3 linked regions of the Arabidopsis thaliana genome follow. The protein of the gene in region 1 interacts with the protein of each later gene in a biochemical or structural test. Each region holds a gene or a part of one and is shown in the gene's direction. Other genes may lie near its edges.

Region 1 (6,330 bases):
TTTGCCTTTTTAGACTTCATAAAGTTCCTTGAAGTGTGTTGAGAAACAATCTGGTCCAATAACAAACAAGAACTTGTTAAAACTCTGTTTTTTTTGCTCAAATAAACCGGTATTTAATGTTTTCTTCACCTGTGCAGTGTTGTAAACAACAGTTTTACAATCGGGAAGAATACTAATAGAACGAGGCGCGATCACGTATTCTCTGCCCTTGAATTTGATGGTTTCTGCAGCTTCAGTATTGTTGTTAGCCAAGAAAGCAGCACAAGTTTTGGTTCCAGGTTGTTCGTAGTATCTAATCTGTTATTACACACCAAAAAGTTGAATCCTTTAAGCATTTTGAAAAAACAAATCAGAGTCTGTTTGTATGTGTACATGCATATATGCTAATACCTCTGTATCTTTTCCAGGTTTCTCGGTTTTAGGCTGACCCCAAAGAAGTGGCTTCTTGCAGAGGTTAAGAGCGTTGTGAAGATGCTTAAGATGACCATACTTAGGCTCTTTCTCTAAACCATATTCATCAAGAGGTGCATCATCGTAGTATCTAGTGGTCACATAATGTGCAGAGGTTCTTCCAAAGTTAGTCCCTCCGTGGTACTACAAGATTAAAGAACCATTTTGAGAATTTTGACAATCATTTTTGCATATATGGTTAACTCGAATGGATCATAATTTTTACCATGTAGTAGTTGACATGGGTTCCGTTCTTGGAGAAGAATCGAGCAACTGAATACGCGATATCTTCTACTGATCTTTGAGTTGGCGGATCACCAAACACGCGGAACCTATTGAAGAAATTGGCAAGATATTCAACACTTATATGAATGAACCTAAGGTTTTTACATGTTTAATTCAAGAGTAAGAAAAACAAACTCACTGAGTAGTCCAATTCTCAGTCCATAAAGATGGTTTGTTTTCTCTGTTTGGACCGGGGAAAGTATCACCGCAATGTCTTCCATTACAAGCATTGATCTGTTTCCACAGTGTTTTCAAATATTTTAAAACTTTCTTCCTCATTCGGATAAAACACAATCATGTAAAAATGAACTTTACCATAGGATCAGGAGCGTCGTTCTGCTTGCACATAACCCATGGGATCCCGAGTTTCATTGAGTCCACCAAATTAGATGCCCATTTAATGTAGTTTAACCCGTCTTGTTTATATGCACGTTGAACCGCGCTATATTCGTTTTCTATCTGCAATTCATATTCATTCCAAAACTCATCATTTTATAACATTTTTCAAATCATATATAAATATATAGGTTTCTCTTTTCTTTGTTGTCACCTGTCCTAATATAATGGGGCCTCCTTGTGACGCAAACAATCTTTCCTCCTTCATTTTGTCGAGTATCATCCGTACATACCTTTCTGTATGCTCCTGCAATATTTTTATGGTCATATCTTGTAATATATCTAATTGTAACAAAACACACATTGACATATATATAGTAATTCTATGTATAATACCTTGAATTGTTTATTGTCTGTACGGAAGAAAATTCCAGGAACTTCTCTAAGCCAATAAGGAAGTCCTCTGATCATCACAAAGAGATCATATAAAATGTTAAAATGAAGATCTTGAGAACGCCGAAAAAGAAGAAGAAGCAATGCATTATTACCCATGAGTCCATTCAGCTTGGATGAACGGTCCAAGCCTTAAGGTCACATACATTCCATTCTTTTGAATCAACTTTATGAACTTCACCAAATCAGCTCGTCCCGAAAAGTTGAACTGATGAACGCAACACAAAATACATTATGAATCCTAAAGATTCATGCATGCGTGTTTTATATGTTCTATATATAGATCAGTTTTTGGTTATGAATTACCTTTCCTTGTTGAGGCTCATGTACATTCCAGAAAACGTATGTCTGAATCGTGTTCAAACCGCCTTGCTTGGCTCTCTTGATGATACTTGGCCACATCTAAACCAAACCCAAATGACACAATAATCTCAATATACAAAAAAAAAAAAAAAACGTTTTAGAAAAACAGAGATTATGTGATTCAATAAATACTTCCGGAGTGCTTCTCGGGTAATGAATAGAGCCAGAATAAAGAAGCTCTCTTTTGCCATCGATGATCAAAGAGGTTCCATCATATGTCACCTCCTTATTACTCTTCTTCTTCTTCTTGGCGTCCTTCTTGGCCGCGAAGGAGGAAGAAGACGAGAGGAGAACGACAAGAACAGCTGTTAAAAGCCATCGATCAAGAGAATGTTTTCTCATTGAACTCTCTTCTTTTTCTTTTTTGAATTAATTTTTGGTGTCGTACGTAGAACAAGAAGCTAAGTTCTCTTGGAACCTCGTCCTTGTCGGAGGAATAAAAAACAAGGAGAGCTCAAATAACAAGCTTTCAGAAAAGAGGATGATATAAGAGAATGTTTCGCACTCAGGTTTTCAGGTTTCCGGAGAAATTTACGCGTCTGAAATAGAATCCACCGTTGTAACTTTGAAACTCTCTTCATTTTTCCTTTTCGATTTTTTTTTTTTAATTTGTTTTTGCTATTTTTAAATGTTGGTTTCACCCTATTCTTCGCCTATTATGTTGGACATAACATAACAAATTAGTGAAATTACCATTCGTTTTTTTTGGGTCCCCATAACAGATTCTTTAACGGTCAATAAGTGTTTTTAAAATTAACGGTCAATAACTAGCTAGACAGATTCAAAAGGTAAGCCTTTATACCGTGATTGGTTATAAAAATATTAAATATTGACCTTAAGTTCACGTTTTTTTTAGTGTCTCAACATTTATTTCTTAGAGAAGTTGTATGTACATTTTTAATGTTTACTTCAACATACCGGGACAAAAATATTATCATTTAACATGTAACAGAAGAATATGTATCCAAAGGAGGCTGATCAATAAAAATTAACACTCCAATCATATTGCATTGTAAAACCAGCTATATTTTTTATTGATATTTAAACCATAGTTGTATAATCCTAATGACACATCGGAAAAATCCTCTAAACCAGTCAAAATTTAGCTAAATTTTTTATTGATATTTAAAGATCAATCTAAATATGTATAGATTTAGGCATTTAGTATATGGGCTGCATAGTATTAGATGAAAACGAAGTTTAAAAAAAAAAAAAAAAAAAAGTACATAGAAATTATTATTATAATTTTCATCCCATAAATTTTTGTAGGGTCTTATGTTGGGAAACGCACTATCTAAGAAGAAATGCTATTTTATAAAATTTTAGTAAAAAGAAGAAAAAAAAGGAAGAAGAAGACCAAGAAATTGAGGTGCATGTGAGGATGAGTAGTAAAAATTAGGAAGACTCTAGTCTGGGAGAGACTTTCAGCAGCTATTTCTTTGTCTTCTTTCTCTTTAAAGAACCTCACTCTCTCTCTCTTTAGTCAAAAATCCCCAATTCGTGAACAAATTAGGGTTTTTGAAGTTTGAAGAAGGAGAGAAAGATGAGTGCTTCAAGGTTTATCAAGTGTGTCACTGTCGGCGACGGTGCTGTTGGAAAGACTTGTCTTCTCATCTCCTACACTAGCAACACTTTCCCCACGGTTAGCTTTAAAGTTCTCTTCTTTTACTTTGATTTCGTGAAATTTTAGCTTGGTGAAGTTGGTTTTGTTGTTGAAGCTTATGAGTTGGATTTAGTCACAAGTATTTGTTAGGTTTTCTTAAAGTCTTCTTCTTTCTGCTACCTTAGTGAATGTACTGATGTGATCTTTAGGATTTGAGAGACTCAGAGATTCATGTACCGTAGCAATGTTGTTGATCTGTTTAATGATCTTAGAAAGAGTGTTAGGTAACTTTCTGTAAGGAGATTTTGTAGCTGATGTTTTAGTGGAATTTTCTATGTGACAGGATTATGTGCCAACTGTGTTCGATAATTTCAGTGCCAATGTGATTGTTGATGGCAACACTATCAACTTGGGATTGTGGGATACTGCAGGCAAGTTGTTACCTTGGATTTTTTTGTCTTTTGAATTTCCTCCTCTTCCAGAGAGTCATTTGTGTTTTTGACTTGGTGAAACAGGGCAAGAGGACTACAATAGACTAAGACCTTTGAGCTATCGCGGTGCAGATGTCTTCTTACTTGCATTCTCACTTGTCAGCAAAGCTAGCTATGAAAATGTTTCTAAAAAGGTTTGATCTGTGGTCTTCTCCTGAAACTTCTTTCCTGTTTTATTCAGTTTACATTCAGTGATTCTGATAGAATACATTTGGTATCTTGCTTTTGATTCTTAGTGGGTTCCTGAACTGAGACATTATGCTCCTGGTGTTCCCATCATCCTCGTTGGAACAAAGCTTGGTTGGTTTTTTCTTAGCTCAACTCTTAATCGCCTGATTATCGGGGGTTTTCTGTTTTGGGGAACTCTTCTGATATTTTGATGACTGAGTCTCGTACAGATCTTCGAGATGATAAGCAATTCTTTGCCGAGCACCCTGGTGCTGTGCCTATCTCTACCGCTCAGGTACCTTTCTCATTATCTTTCTAAACTGAATCCTAGGTGTTAATATTCTGCATGTTTCATATTTTGATGGTATCAAAACAGGGTGAAGAACTAAAGAAGCTGATTGGGGCGCCTGCTTATATCGAATGCAGTGCAAAAACTCAACAGGTATTAACCTGAGAGTCAATATCTTTATCTAATCTTTACCTGTCTAAAACCGCCAATTGAATCTGCTGATGATTCCTATATCTGTTATCTGTTCAACAGAATGTGAAAGCAGTGTTTGATGCGGCTATCAAGGTCGTTCTCCAGCCACCAAAAAACAAGAAGAAGAAGAAGAGAAAATCTCAGAAAGGTTGTTCTATACTCTGATTCAACAAGAAGAAAGGAATCAACAGGAGAATTAGAGCTATAAGTATTTGTTTTCTCCTTTTTCATAACTTGTTTACCCAAGGAATCAAAAATCTGTTGTTTGTAGTCTGAAAATGACAAAAGTTGAAGAACTAGTAACAAGTATTTGTATTCTTGTTTGCATTTTGATCTGTAAATATACCACGAATCCTTGATTTCTCTGTTTCCTAGATTCACACCAATTGTCTTAAGGATTATGTTCCAAACCTAAAGACAATGAGAGCTTACACGCGCGAACCAATGAGAATGAGAGAGCACTTGTCTTTCTTGGACAATAGTATCTAAACCAGCTTATTTGAAACCTTCTGAATGAGCCAGAGTGTCTTCCATACATATCAATTCCACATAGACCTAACCTGATCTTTAGACTATAATCTTCAATGATTTCAGAACCTCAAAACTTTTGATTTTACATTTTTAATCAAATTTATTTGATATTCATTTTGCTTATTGACTAGACGTTTTCCCCTTGGAGATAATAGAATGATTGATTTTAACTCTCACCGGAAAAGACAAAAAAAAGGAAAAATAAATCATTGATTAAATAAAATTTATGGTGAATAAGCTTGGCTTCTCTTTACCAAACATATATGTTTGTTGATCAATCTCTTTCTTTGCGTTATCTGCCCCTTGATTTAGACCCACGTATTATTCGATTCCTAAACTAATTGAAATGATTAGATATGTGTCATGACGTTTAGTGAACTAATATTCACCTAATATGTCTTTCAATCACTTAAGAATTTGCATTATTCTTGTGAAAAACATAAATTCACATGCTGCTAGTAAAATATGTTAACAAATCAATTAAACATCAGAAAATAATAACTGAGATCTTCATAAAGAAAGTGGAAGTTTTTTTAAATATATGAAGAAGAAAAGTGCGTAGTGTGCACGGGACTTAGTTCATTTAATTCTCGAGCCATTGCCGTACGGAGGAGGCTGCCTTCAAGGCTTAAGTCGAGGCGTGTTCGTTACGTTTAACCCGCAATAGCCGGTGGCTACACACTCACAAATCCCCTTTGACTCACCGGATATCGACGGTTTCCCGCTATTTTTTCCCCTAACTAACTTTTTTTCCTTTTCTTGTAAAACTCTTAAAAACAAAACTCGGTGTTGTCTCTTTGTTTGCTCACTCCTTTTCTTTCTCTCTCTCGCCGACACTTTCATTCTCACTTGTGTTCGTACGTAATGTTCTTGATCCGGTAGGTTTTTATTTGATTATAAACTCATTTCATTTAACAAATTGAGTCCATCTCTCTATGATTCACCCATAAGATGATAGAAGAAGATCAACATTTACGTCTGAGATAAATCATGTCCTTTAATGTATATTTGTTTATTTTCTGGTCAATCATCGATCTTTCTTAGTCGTAGCAGTTACACAATGCTGATGGTACATGGCGGCAGATTTTCGATTCTTATTATTTAAAGACCAAATTTAATAATAGATGTATGTACAACGAGTTTTGGTATCACTATCTTGTCCGGTAATG
Region 2 (5,609 bases), on another chromosome or scaffold:
TCACCAGGATTTACGGCGGGAGCCAAGAAAGAAGACTCGCATGTTTTAGTCAAAAAAACAACAAAGGAAAACTAAATTAAAAATATTGTTGCTTTTTGGTTTTTAATTTTGGTAAGAAAAATTGTTGCTTTTTGCATAGTAATTGATAAATGAAAGTTATGAAATATTAAAGAAATACCAAAAAGAGAGTGGAGTTTAGTAGCATTGTTTGACTAATGTTTTTAGGATTTGATAAAACAACTAGTATAGGAAAGGAAATTATGATACATATTTAGAGTATACAAGGTAAAATGCAATTTCATTTTATTAGAAAGTATATAAGAACATTTCATTTTATTCAAAAAAGTAAGAAAAGAAAAACACATTGATAAATTATCAAATAGTTATGGACTTATTGCCAATACGGCAATACCCTATGATGGTAGTATTTAAAGAACAAAAAAGTGATGTAAGTGTATAATTAGTAACTACTATAGACTAGTAATTGTGTTTTCTAAATTAAACTATAAAATAAATTCAATTTAGTCATTTTTTGCCACTACAACTTAAGCATGCATGGTAATTACTCTAAATTTTGTTTTCTATCCAAAACTCCAATGGGCATAAAAAGATTAAACACACCATTTGCATTAAAAAGTTGAGAATTCTTCAAGAACTAGCATAGGTTGCTAGCTAGATCAATGGGTCCTAAACCTTCTTAATGGGCTTATAAATCCCAACTGTTACACCGACATATTTACGAGTTTTGTGGAAGGCTTAGCTAATTACATTTTTTTTCTTTCACATGTTAGCTATTTAACTAATTAATTATGCACCTCTCCATCGTTATCCATTAAACGTCAAAGACAAAAAATACTTGGACACACGTAAGAGAGAGACACATATATCTGCTCAAATGAGTCATTACACCTTATTTTATTATACTTTTTCTTAACTGTCTTGTTCCTTTTTTTAGTCTTCAAATTATCAACTTTGTTTCTTTGATCAGCTTTGTCATCTTGAAATTATCAACGTTTTGACTAAATTTAAAGAACAGTTGTGTTCGTTCGTGCCATTCTTTTGAATGCTTATACGTACATTTCTTCTTGAAAAGACTTTGAATCCAAGAACCCGTGAGGAAGTAATCCCAGTGAAGAGAAGACGACAAAGAAAAAGGTTAGGCACATTTTCCCATATTTTTCCTCAAAGAGGAGACATTATTTATCTTTGTATGGGTTTTCTTGATAAAGATTAGATATTGAAGGAATCTTTTTTTCATTTTGTGTCTTTTAGGAGCCTATAAAGATCCAAAGCTTCCCTTGTCTTTAGTTCTCATCAAAAAAATTGAAAAACGTTTGGAGTTATTGAGAGAGAGAGAGATAGAGAAAGATGTTGGAAGGCAAAGCAATGGTGGAAGATTCAGACATGCCAGTGAAGATGCAGATGCAAGCTATGGCATTTGCTTCTCAAGCTCTTGACCTTTTTGATGTCTTTGACTGTAAATCCATTGCTGGTCACATCAAGAAGGTATTAGTAATGATTTTCTTCAATTCTATTTATAAGTCATAAATACATCATTATCATCTATATATAACTACTTGGTTAATTTTGTTTGTTCTATAATGAATTTTCAGGAGTTTGATGAGAGATATGGGAGTGGATGGCAATGTGTGGTGGGATCAAATTTTGGGTGTTTCTTCACACATTCTAAAGGGACTTTTATCTATTTTCAATTGGAGACACTTAAGTTCCTCATCTTTAAAGGCGCTTCTACTCCTTAATTACACTACCCTAATCATGGGGATGTTTTTTTTTCCTTTTTCTTTTGCTTCTATGAAAATCTGAGAAAAAAAAATCTTGCTAAGACTATCAAGATCTTTAGCTTTGTTTGAATTCTAAGTTTGTAAATAGGCCCAAGCTAAGAGAGGAAGTTGATTTCAATGATGTAAGATTTTTCATTTTTACAAGTGTTTGCTTTTGTGATCAATAAAAGTGAAATGCAGAAGATTTTTTATATTTATATTCTTTTAGTTGAGATGCAAACAATTATAATTGCCCAGCCACAAATAGAGAATTTCTTAGACTGACTTAGACTAATCTATCATTAGCATAATATAAATTTATTTTAAACTTTTACTTTGATAGAAATTCAGAGAGAGGTCAAAATTGAGGAAAACATTATCATCCATAATCCTTAATTTAGTTGAGAAACTGAGATTTTTTTAATACAACAAGACATAAACAAAAATGATATTACAGATAATGTCAGTAACATGTCCTCCCTACATCTCAATGTTTGATTTAAAGAAAAAGATTGAGATTTTTTTTATGTGTGTGGAGAAATTCAACTTTCAAATAACGTGCAGCCCACATTCCACCAAGTATCAATTTATAAATAGTAAAACATTTCAAGAAAATTAAAAATATCCTCTTATTTTTTTCCCCTGAAGAATCTGACCAAATTCACTACTTGTTTATGGTTATGGACAACGAATCATAATAGTTACTAAAATAATCAGGTTAAAACTAAAACCATTAACAGAAGTCAAATGATGGTGTTCTGTATTTGCTAAGTCTGAAATTAAAATCAAACACCGTTTTTTGGTTAATTAAGTTTGTTTTTTCTTCATGATCTCCTAAAACTCCTCTTTATTACACGAAGAGGAGAACAAATGGAGATTAAAAAGAATTTTCAAATCATAGAAATCTTTTCATTTTTTTTATTGTTTTGATTAACTAGTAATTAATGGTAAAAGCAATGGAGCAAGAACAAGAGACTTACAAATCAAGATTGTTTCATTTCAAGAACATGAACGAAAACTCAGCTTCAAGACATGTTAAAAGCTGGAGCTCAGATTGTGCAATGAGAATGGATGGTTCTGACAATTTGGATGATGATGATAATGACATGATGATGTTTAGGAGTCAACCCGGAAAATGTGGCAGCGTTGACCGACCTTCTTTGCCTATAGGCGGAGTAACGCCTAATCGCAATGACAAGCTTCCGAGAGTCTCTTCATCGGATTCCATGGAGGCACTAATAATATTGCAAGCAGGTAAAATCTAATGAACTGGCTCATATCTTCTAGGTTTCTTGGATTGCAAGTTAGGGGCAAAGTACTAATCTTGGATTATAAGTTAGGGCAAAAACTAAAGTATATGTTGTTGTTATTACAGCAATGGAGCAAATGAAAGAGAAATTTTCGAAATTGCTTCTTGGAGAAGATATGTCAGGAGGAGGAAAAGGTGTTTCATCGGCTTTGGCTTTATCTAACGCCATTACCAATCTCGCAGGTAAGATCTTTTCCCAAATCTTTCAGTTCCATGGAAATTTTCAATTTTATCACCAATTTGATGTTAAGTTCTGTAATTTTTTTGTTGTTGCAGCGTCTGCGTTTGGAGAACAACGGCGTTTAGAGCCAATGGCGGTGGATAGAAAAACGCGTTGGAGGAGAGAAATTGGATGGCTTATCTCTGTGGCTGATTATATAGTTGAATTCGCTCCAACACAACAAACAAACAAAGATGGTACTTCAATGGAAGTCATGTCAACAAGACAAAGAACAGATCTTCTCTGTAACATCCCTGCACTTAAGAAACTCGATGCTATGCTTCTCGTAAGAAGAACAAACAACAACAGCACAAAATATACTAATCAAAGGCTGTTAAATAATTAATCTCACATTTATAATCATTCTCTTGCAGGATTGTCTTGATAAATTCAAGGATCAGGATGAGTTTTATTATGTTAAAAAAGATTCTCCTGATTCTTGCGAGACAAGGAACGATGAGAAATGGTGGTTACCGGCAGTAAAAGTCCCACCTAACGGCCTCTCAGAGATATCAAGAAGGTTTCTACAGAGCCAGAAGGAATGTGTGAATCAAGTCCTTAAAGCTGCAATGGCGATAAACGCTCAAGTTCTGTCTGAAATGGAGATTCCTGAAAGCTACCTTGAGTCACTTCCTAAGGTTATTTAATAAACACATAAAAACATTCATCAAGAATCTGTTATTGATCTAGTCCTTATCGATGTTTTCGTGTGTTGTTGAGAACAGAATGGGAGAGCTAGCTTGGGAGATGTGATATACAGAATGATAACAGTAGAGATGTTTGATGCAGATCAATTCCTAATTGAAATGGATTTATCATCTGAGCACAAGATTCTTGATCTAAAGAACAGAATCGAAGCATCGATTGTGATATGGAAGAGGAAAATGGTGCAGAAGGACACAAAGTCTCCTTGGGGATCAACAGTGAGTATTGAGAAAAGAGAACAGTTTGAAGAAAGAGCTGAAACCATCTTGCTACTATTAAAACAAGGGTTTCCCGGAATCTCACAGTCCTCGCTCGATATCAGCAAGATTCAATTCAACAGAGTAATTTAAAACTCTTAACTTCCAAATACATTTTGATTGTGTTTTCTCTATGGTCATGAGAAAATCTCATTATTGGATAATTGTTGTTGCAGGATGTAGGACTTGCGATATTGGAGAGTTATTCAAGAGTGCTTGAGAGTTTAGCTCACACCGTGATGTCGAGAATAGAAGACGTGCTTTACGCTGATCAGCTTACTCAAGAACCTACAAATAATGCACCTTCTAAGAACAGATATAGCTTGAAGGAGAATGAGAAACTAAGAGAGGAAAGACTAAGTTTCACAGAGGATATGGCTTCAGGAACACTTTCTGATGTTATGCAATGGGGTAACAAAAACAATGAAATGAAGAAAGAAAGCTTTTTCGGAGATAGAGAGAAACCGTTGTTGTCGAAAGTCACAGGTATAATGACTAACAACAAGAAGAGTTCTTATCTTGATAATCTTGGAGCTATGAGGAGTCCAACCGCAAGATACTCCTGAGAGAAACCGGTTTCTTTTTTCCGTTCTTGTTAAATTAGGGCTTCTTACTGCATTTTCAATCTGCTTAAAGATTCCACAAAATGCACCATTGTGTGTTGTAGCAGACTTGAAATGCAATTTCATTGATTCATCATAACTGATTTTCAGAATCACTAGCTTACAAAGCAATTAACACAACACAGTACAATATACATAAATAGGGTTCATAGAATTGGGGAGAAAGTTTCTGACTTTTTGAAAGATTTTAGAAAGCTAATTTAAAGCTTGCCGCGAGGACCGAGCTTAGGTGGCTCTTGAGGACCTCTCTTAATCGGAAGAACATCGCCGGTAGAGTTCGCACTAACATATGTAAGCAAAGAGCCTCCTCCAAGAATCAAAAATTTGAGAAGCAAACCTCTCTTTGTGAAAGGAGCAGCAAATGTCTCAAAGAACTTGCTCTGCAAGCAACATAATCACAAAGTCTTAGAATTTGAAGAAGCATATAGATCTAAAGATTTAAGAGTGTACAAAAACCTGAAGTGGGTTATAAGGAGAAGGAGCATCAGATCCATACACATCCCATTGTCCTGTTGTGTTACCCAAATCTTCTAAATCAAAGTATACACTTTTGTCTCCATACTTAGCCACCACAGCACCAGCTCTACACAAACAATCAAAAGTAACATCCTTTCTTTAATACCAATCCTCATCAATGTCAATCCAAGATTCCAAATTTCAAAGCTTTAAACTTTACCTGGTGGATTTGGTTTTGAAGCTTTGGCGAGAAGGTTT
Region 3 (5,720 bases), on another chromosome or scaffold:
TACAGTATGAGAAATTCGCTTACAAACAAAAGAAAGTTCGACATGCACTACAAATAACCAGGTTAATTTGGGTTTTGTTCGGTTAGTGTTTATGAGAGCTTCAGAAAGAAGCATTGTGGTAAAGAGTTTCTGTTGAACATGACTTGTGATTATAATACTGACCACATTTTGCCAATGAAAAAAGATTCAATCTCCAAAACATCAAAGATTTGCCATCATCTCTAAAGAAGATAGGTAATAATAATATGCTTTCCCCAGTCAGGATATTTAGTGTCTATAGTTGTGACGGCAAAGCAAATAGATTCTTCTTCTTCCTTATTAGCTTTATGGAGATGGATTTCAAGGCTTGAAACATTAATTGTTATTTATCTTGGTGAGAATTTTTCAATTTGTTCTCTTACATAGTTATTTTCTAATTAACTTATGTCTTTGTCTTCCATCTATAGCCATTTCTTTTCTGCATCTCTAAATTTACCACTCCATCTTTGTATCATAAACATCCCCACCTTTTCACCTTCCTCATATTTCCATCCAATTTACCACTCCATCTTTGTGTCATATAATCATATCTAAATTGAAAAAATCTCCTTGGGTCATTGACATATTGGAACCGAGAAAACAACTGATTTATGAATATTAAACGGCTTATTCATAATTAGGAGAAAATAAAAGCTTTACTTAATTTGATTTACTAATTTGAGTAACGTCATTTTCAAACTGAACTTAAAATAAAAACGTAAGAAAATAATATGAACTCTTAAAATTTTGACGTTTTGTAAGCCTTGAAGACAATTAGATATTTCTATATATTGTTAAATATTAACTTTTAACTTTCTTTTCTTATTTGTCTTTATAAAATGAACCGTAAAAGTTAGAAAACTCCTACCAACCAAAAAAAAAAAAAGTTAAAAAACTCCTAATTTTTTTTCAAGTTTTCGAAGTCCCAGATAGAATCTCTTCTACCAAATCCTACGAAAGATCAGAGATGATCGTCATTTTTTTTTGGTGGAAGAGATACTCTCTAGGACTTCGAGAATTTCTGGAAGAGCTATTGGATGCGCTTGCAAACGATGTAACACACTATTTAAAGATGAGAGCTTTACAAAGAAGCATTGTGGTAAATCTACCAAGGAGTTTCTGGTAACCATGACTTGTGAATATTCTTTTTTGACTGATATTTCACAAACTAGATTCAGTCTCCATAGCATCAAAGACTTTTCATCTATAAAGGAGATAGGTGAAATGGTCTGTCGAGTTCAAATATCTAAGCTAGTCTATCATTGTCACGGCTTATTGTTATTAGTCACCAAGGATTCCTCGAGGCTGGTGGTATGGAACCCATATGTTGGTAAGCTAGTGCAAACCAGATGGATCAAACCCAAAAATAATTATCATGAATCAGATTGGTATGCTATAGGATACGACAACAAGAACAACCACAAAATATAAGGCATGAAATCTATGATTTTAAGTCTAATTCTTCAAGTCTAGTTCGTGGAGGGTTCTTGACATTACTTATAATTCTTATATAACGTTTAAAAAGAGGCGTTTCTTTGAAGAGAAATACTTACTTTGTTGATCGTAAAGGCGACGATTTTTTTTATTTTTTTTATTTTACAACATAGAGATTTGGATCACGTCTGCATCTGCCGTTTGATTCCAATAGTTATGTGATTTCATATTGTGTTAGAGAAGAGTAGCTTGAGGTGTTTTTGGGCAGGTGTTTGGATAGATGTGTGATGGAGACATGGATTACAACTAAGATTGAGCCAAATGCAGTGTCGTGGAGCAAATTCTTTAAAGTTGAAATTCCACTTGTGTTTGGTTGTTACGTACTTTCTATCTGTGTTTGAAGTTTGCAGTTTCTTCATTGATAAAGAGAAAAAGCAGCATTTGTTGTGGTACATATGGTGTCAATCATCTCTTCGAGATATCTTTCGTGGTAAGAGAGAATATGTTCTTCAAAGTAACGGATTTCGGAGAAATGTTCTCTTATGTTCCAAGTTCGGTGCAGATCCAATACTTAAGGTCTAGTACATGCAGGAATCCTACAGCAGGAGGCAAAAGAAAAGGAGGAGATTACTAGTAATTTCTTACATTGCCTTGTTTGTTTATTATTCATGTTATATTGTTTTGAACAAGCCTGGTCAATGGCTTCTTTATTACTTGACAAGATCAAAAACATATTTTGGTGATTTGAAAACTAAACTTGTCATATAAACTTTGATATCTGACAAGTTTTATGTCTTTCTCTGGTGAATTATGTAGCTCTAGTGGTGAAGAAGACATTCCATAGTACATAAACATGGAAATGTAACCAATGAATCAATTGCACAGTGGTTGATTTCAAAGCCAAATAAACCAAAACTTAAGTAAATTCTAAACACTCAAAAGCAGAACAAGAAAAATGCAAGACATAAGGATAGCTAAATACTCTATTTGATGAATGGTAGATCTCCCATAAGAAAGTTGAATCAGTTTGGAGTTTTATTGTCTTTTCCGTACTTCGTGGAACGTCACTTTTATCACAAACCATCAATTTATTTCTAACACAAAAGAGAAGATAACCAATCATGGAAATAGCTAACTTCCTAAATTTTGATTTACTATTTTTATATTTGAAATGCATTTAGTCCTTAAAATCGAAAACAAACGTTTGTTCTTAAGAATTTTGTTTCATTTTCCAAATAAAAGAGGTTTTTTTTTTGTTCTTTTTATGCTTTTAACAAAAATCTTAGAGTTGTATCATCTTTAGATCAACTGGATTTTAAAGGAATAAAGGGCTTTAACTTGCGGGGCAAGAAAACAAGCGAACGTTGTCGTACCATGGTTGCAGCGTTGGAACGAGGACTAAGCGCTTCCAAATCATTCAACTTTAAAAGAATGTTTGATTCATCTTCGACGAAACAACAACAATCTCAAACTATTGTCGTGGAGAACGGAGATTCTCATATTGTCGAATCCAACACGCCTGAAAGCCAAAACTCCGACAGCTTCGTAGAAAGCCCCGTAGAGAGCAGCCTTCCAATGATTTCCCCTCTTACTCGGCCAGGAAAAAGATCTGAGAGACAACAAGCAGGTGTGTATCTTCTTTCCTTTTCCAATAACTTATATCCTTCAAAAAAAACCTAATAATCACATAAAGTATTGCAGATATGGAGATGATGAAAGACAGGTTCGCTAAATTGCTTCTTGGAGAAGATATGTCCGGTGGTGGGAAAGGCGTATCTTCTGCTCTGGCTCTTTCCAATGCCATCACAAATCTTGCTGGTAATCTTCTTTTTATACTTTTTAAGTTTCTTCTTTCGCAAGTAAGTATGAGGGTTTTGGTTTCTAAATCTTGTGTTGGTGGTATGATGATTTGCAGCGTCTATATTCGGAGAACAAACAAAGCTACAACCGATGCCGCAAGATAGACAAGCGAGATGGAAGAAAGAGATTGATTGGTTATTATCCGTGACCGATCACATTGTCGAGTTTGTTCCTTCTCAACAAACAAGCAAAGATGGAGTTTGCACTGAGGTTTGAGTTTCCCAAAGAAAAGAAAATATCATTTTTGCGACCTCTTTAGAATAAGTTACAATGTTAACCATTTTTTTGTAGATTATGGTGACAAGACAAAGAGGTGATCTTCTTATGAACATTCCAGCTCTTCGAAAACTTGACGCCATGCTCATCGTAAGTCTCTCCATTCAATCTGTATTGAATCCGGCTTATATCTAGCGTTTGGTGGATTAATGGTAATGATAACATGTTCAGGATACATTGGACAATTTCAGAGGACACAACGAGTTTTGGTATGTCTCAAGAGATTCAGAAGAAGGGCAGCAAGCAAGGAATGATCGGACAAACGACAAGTGGTGGCTACCACCGGTTAAAGTTCCTCCTGGAGGTTTATCAGAACCATCTCGGAGAATGCTTTACTTCCAAAAAGATTCAGTCACACAAGTTCAAAAAGCTGCAATGGCCATCAATGCTCAAGTCCTCTCAGAAATGGAAATACCTGAGAGCTACATCGACTCTCTCCCAAAGGTAAATCAATGTCACGTTTTTATTCAATTTCTATCTTTTGTTATTCTATGTTTGGCTCTTAAGATTTGATTTTTATTGACAGAACGGAAGAGCCAGCCTCGGGGATTCGATATACAAGAGCATAACAGAGGAATGGTTTGATCCTGAGCAGTTCTTAGCGATGTTGGACATGTCGACAGAGCACAAAGTGTTGGATTTGAAGAACAGAATTGAGGCATCTGTTGTGATTTGGAAGAGGAAGCTTCACACAAAGGACACCAAATCTTCGTGGGGCTCAGCAGTTAGCTTGGAGAAGAGAGAATTGTTCGAAGAGAGAGCAGAAACAATCTTGGTCTTGCTCAAACAAAAATTTCCCGGTCTTCCTCAATCTTCCCTTGACATCTCCAAGATTCAGTTTAACAAGGTAAATCAATCATAATGATAAGCTCTCATATATTGTAGATGCCTTGAATGGCAAGAAACAACTCATTTTTGTTTTGGTTATAAGAAAACTGATCTTTTATCAATGGATACAGGACGTTGGGCAAGCGGTGTTGGAAAGTTACTCTAGGATACTTGAGAGCTTGGCTTACACAGTGATGTCAAGGATAGAAGATGTTCTTTACACAGATACATTGGCACTAAAGCAAACTTTATTGGCTGAAGAAACATCAGATGGTGGGAGAACAACAGAGACGGATTCCGAGTCAGCGGGATCTTCTAACTCGGGAGAAGAAGCCGAGAAGCATGACCCACACTCCAAGACCTTGTTGGATTTTATGGGTTGGAATGATAATAGTTCCAAAGGAGGCGATAAACCTACTAAATCTCCAAACCTTACGCCGAAAAAGCTCTCATACTTGGAGAAGTTAGAGAATTTAAACGGTTTTAGAAGTCCCAAAGATAGGCATTAATCATGAAAATCCTTGTGAGATACTTTTATAGAGAACATAAAAGTGTAGATAGGGAAAAAGGAATGAAAGCAAAGTAGTAAATGAAGTAATCACACCCTCTTCCTTCCTCGGATAGAGAAGTCTTTAGCTTAAGGAGTTTTTAACTCTTAACAAGAAGATAACTATCTCAAATGTACATGTTATAATCTTTAAATGTTCTCTTTGTTTTTCTTGACTTTCAAAAATAGAGGATATTTAATACGTTTAACTATGTGTATCAAATTATCAAACAATATGCGTATGGTCCAAACTCCAAAGGTGCATTTGAAATATATCAAACATATCTAAAAACGTAAAACAAATTGACCACTTAATCTTGGATATAAAGTTAATCGTACGTTTTACAATCTTCAATATTTCAAATCTGATATTACTTTTAAAAATTCATGTGTGTGGAGTATATTTGCAGTATACTTTAAACTTTGTTTCTAATAATTTGTTCATGAAATTCTTTTGAAATTTATTTAAAAAGACTTAGTATACAAATATTTCTAAGATATGTAATTTTGAGTAACCTTTGTTTTTTTTAAGAAATTAATCTTAATTTAATAATACCAAATTGTAAAATCTCCTTTAATCATGATTTACAAAAAGATCAAATAACACAAGATTTTAAGACATAATTTAATTCGAAAAAGGCCACGTAGGCTAGTGAATAGTTATGATCCACATTGCGTGTTAGTTCAATGGACCCATGACAGGCCTTTGGGCCAGGGAAATAAAAGTCGGTTTTCTACAAGAAACAGTATGTAGTTT

Evidence for each region. Proteins that work in one complex are often made in the same cells at the same time.
Region 2: the proteins of RAC3 (region 1) and ROPGEF11 form a complex in vitro, tested with the Arabidopsis thaliana proteins (one study listed by BioGRID).
Region 3: the proteins of RAC3 (region 1) and ROPGEF8 form a complex in vitro, tested with the Arabidopsis thaliana proteins (one study listed by BioGRID).

Annotation. Positions count from the first base shown.
Region 1 is NC_003075.7:16,669,746-16,676,075, forward strand, and holds RAC3 (RAC-like 3), read left to right. Parts: upstream 1-2,446; 5' UTR 2,447-2,498; exon of another isoform or gene 2,499-2,675; intron 2,676-3,038; exon of another isoform or gene 3,039-3,086; 5' UTR 3,087-3,109; intron 3,110-3,173; exon of another isoform or gene 3,174-3,220; 5' UTR 3,221-3,430; coding exon 3,431-3,529; intron 3,530-3,833; coding exon 3,834-3,921; intron 3,922-4,005; coding exon 4,006-4,115; intron 4,116-4,217; coding exon 4,218-4,281; coding exon of another isoform or gene 4,282-4,361; exon of another isoform or gene 4,362-4,379; coding exon 4,380-4,444; intron 4,445-4,525; coding exon 4,526-4,591; intron 4,592-4,690; coding exon 4,691-4,795; 3' UTR 4,796-5,044; downstream 5,045-6,330. Other genes in the region: BGAL11 (beta-galactosidase 11), read right to left, coding at 1-50, 130-297, 391-594, 677-782, 875-969, 1,051-1,194, 1,286-1,378, 1,468-1,534 and 3 more; AT4G35025 (uncharacterized protein), read right to left, coding at 5,783-6,004. UniProt on the Arabidopsis thaliana protein: Inactive GDP-bound Rho GTPases reside in the cytosol, are found in a complex with Rho GDP-dissociation inhibitors (Rho GDIs), and are released from the GDI protein in order to translocate to membranes upon activation.
Region 2 is NC_003070.9:19,454,995-19,460,603, reverse strand, and holds ROPGEF11 (rop guanine nucleotide exchange factor-like protein), read left to right. Parts: upstream 1-2,534; 5' UTR 2,535-2,725; coding exon 2,726-3,035; intron 3,036-3,156; coding exon 3,157-3,273; intron 3,274-3,366; coding exon 3,367-3,596; intron 3,597-3,684; coding exon 3,685-3,948; intron 3,949-4,035; coding exon 4,036-4,356; intron 4,357-4,448; coding exon 4,449-4,838; 3' UTR 4,839-5,095; downstream 5,096-5,609. Other genes in the region: AT1G52245 (dynein light chain LC6, flagellar outer arm-like protein), read left to right, coding at 1,369-1,506, 1,614-1,760; PSAH2 (photosystem I subunit H2), read right to left, coding at 5,096-5,275, 5,352-5,478, 5,572-5,609. UniProt on the Arabidopsis thaliana protein: Guanine-nucleotide exchange factor (GEF) that acts as an activator of Rop (Rho of plants) GTPases by promoting the exchange of GDP for GTP.
Region 3 is NC_003074.8:8,979,900-8,985,619, reverse strand, and holds ROPGEF8 (RHO guanyl-nucleotide exchange factor 8), read left to right. Parts: upstream 1-2,716; 5' UTR 2,717-2,826; coding exon 2,827-3,079; intron 3,080-3,153; coding exon 3,154-3,270; intron 3,271-3,367; coding exon 3,368-3,522; intron 3,523-3,603; coding exon 3,604-3,678; intron 3,679-3,759; coding exon 3,760-4,032; intron 4,033-4,114; coding exon 4,115-4,435; intron 4,436-4,547; coding exon 4,548-4,925; 3' UTR 4,926-5,220; downstream 5,221-5,720. UniProt on the Arabidopsis thaliana protein: Guanine-nucleotide exchange factor (GEF) that acts as an activator of Rop (Rho of plants) GTPases by promoting the exchange of GDP for GTP. Active as homodimer.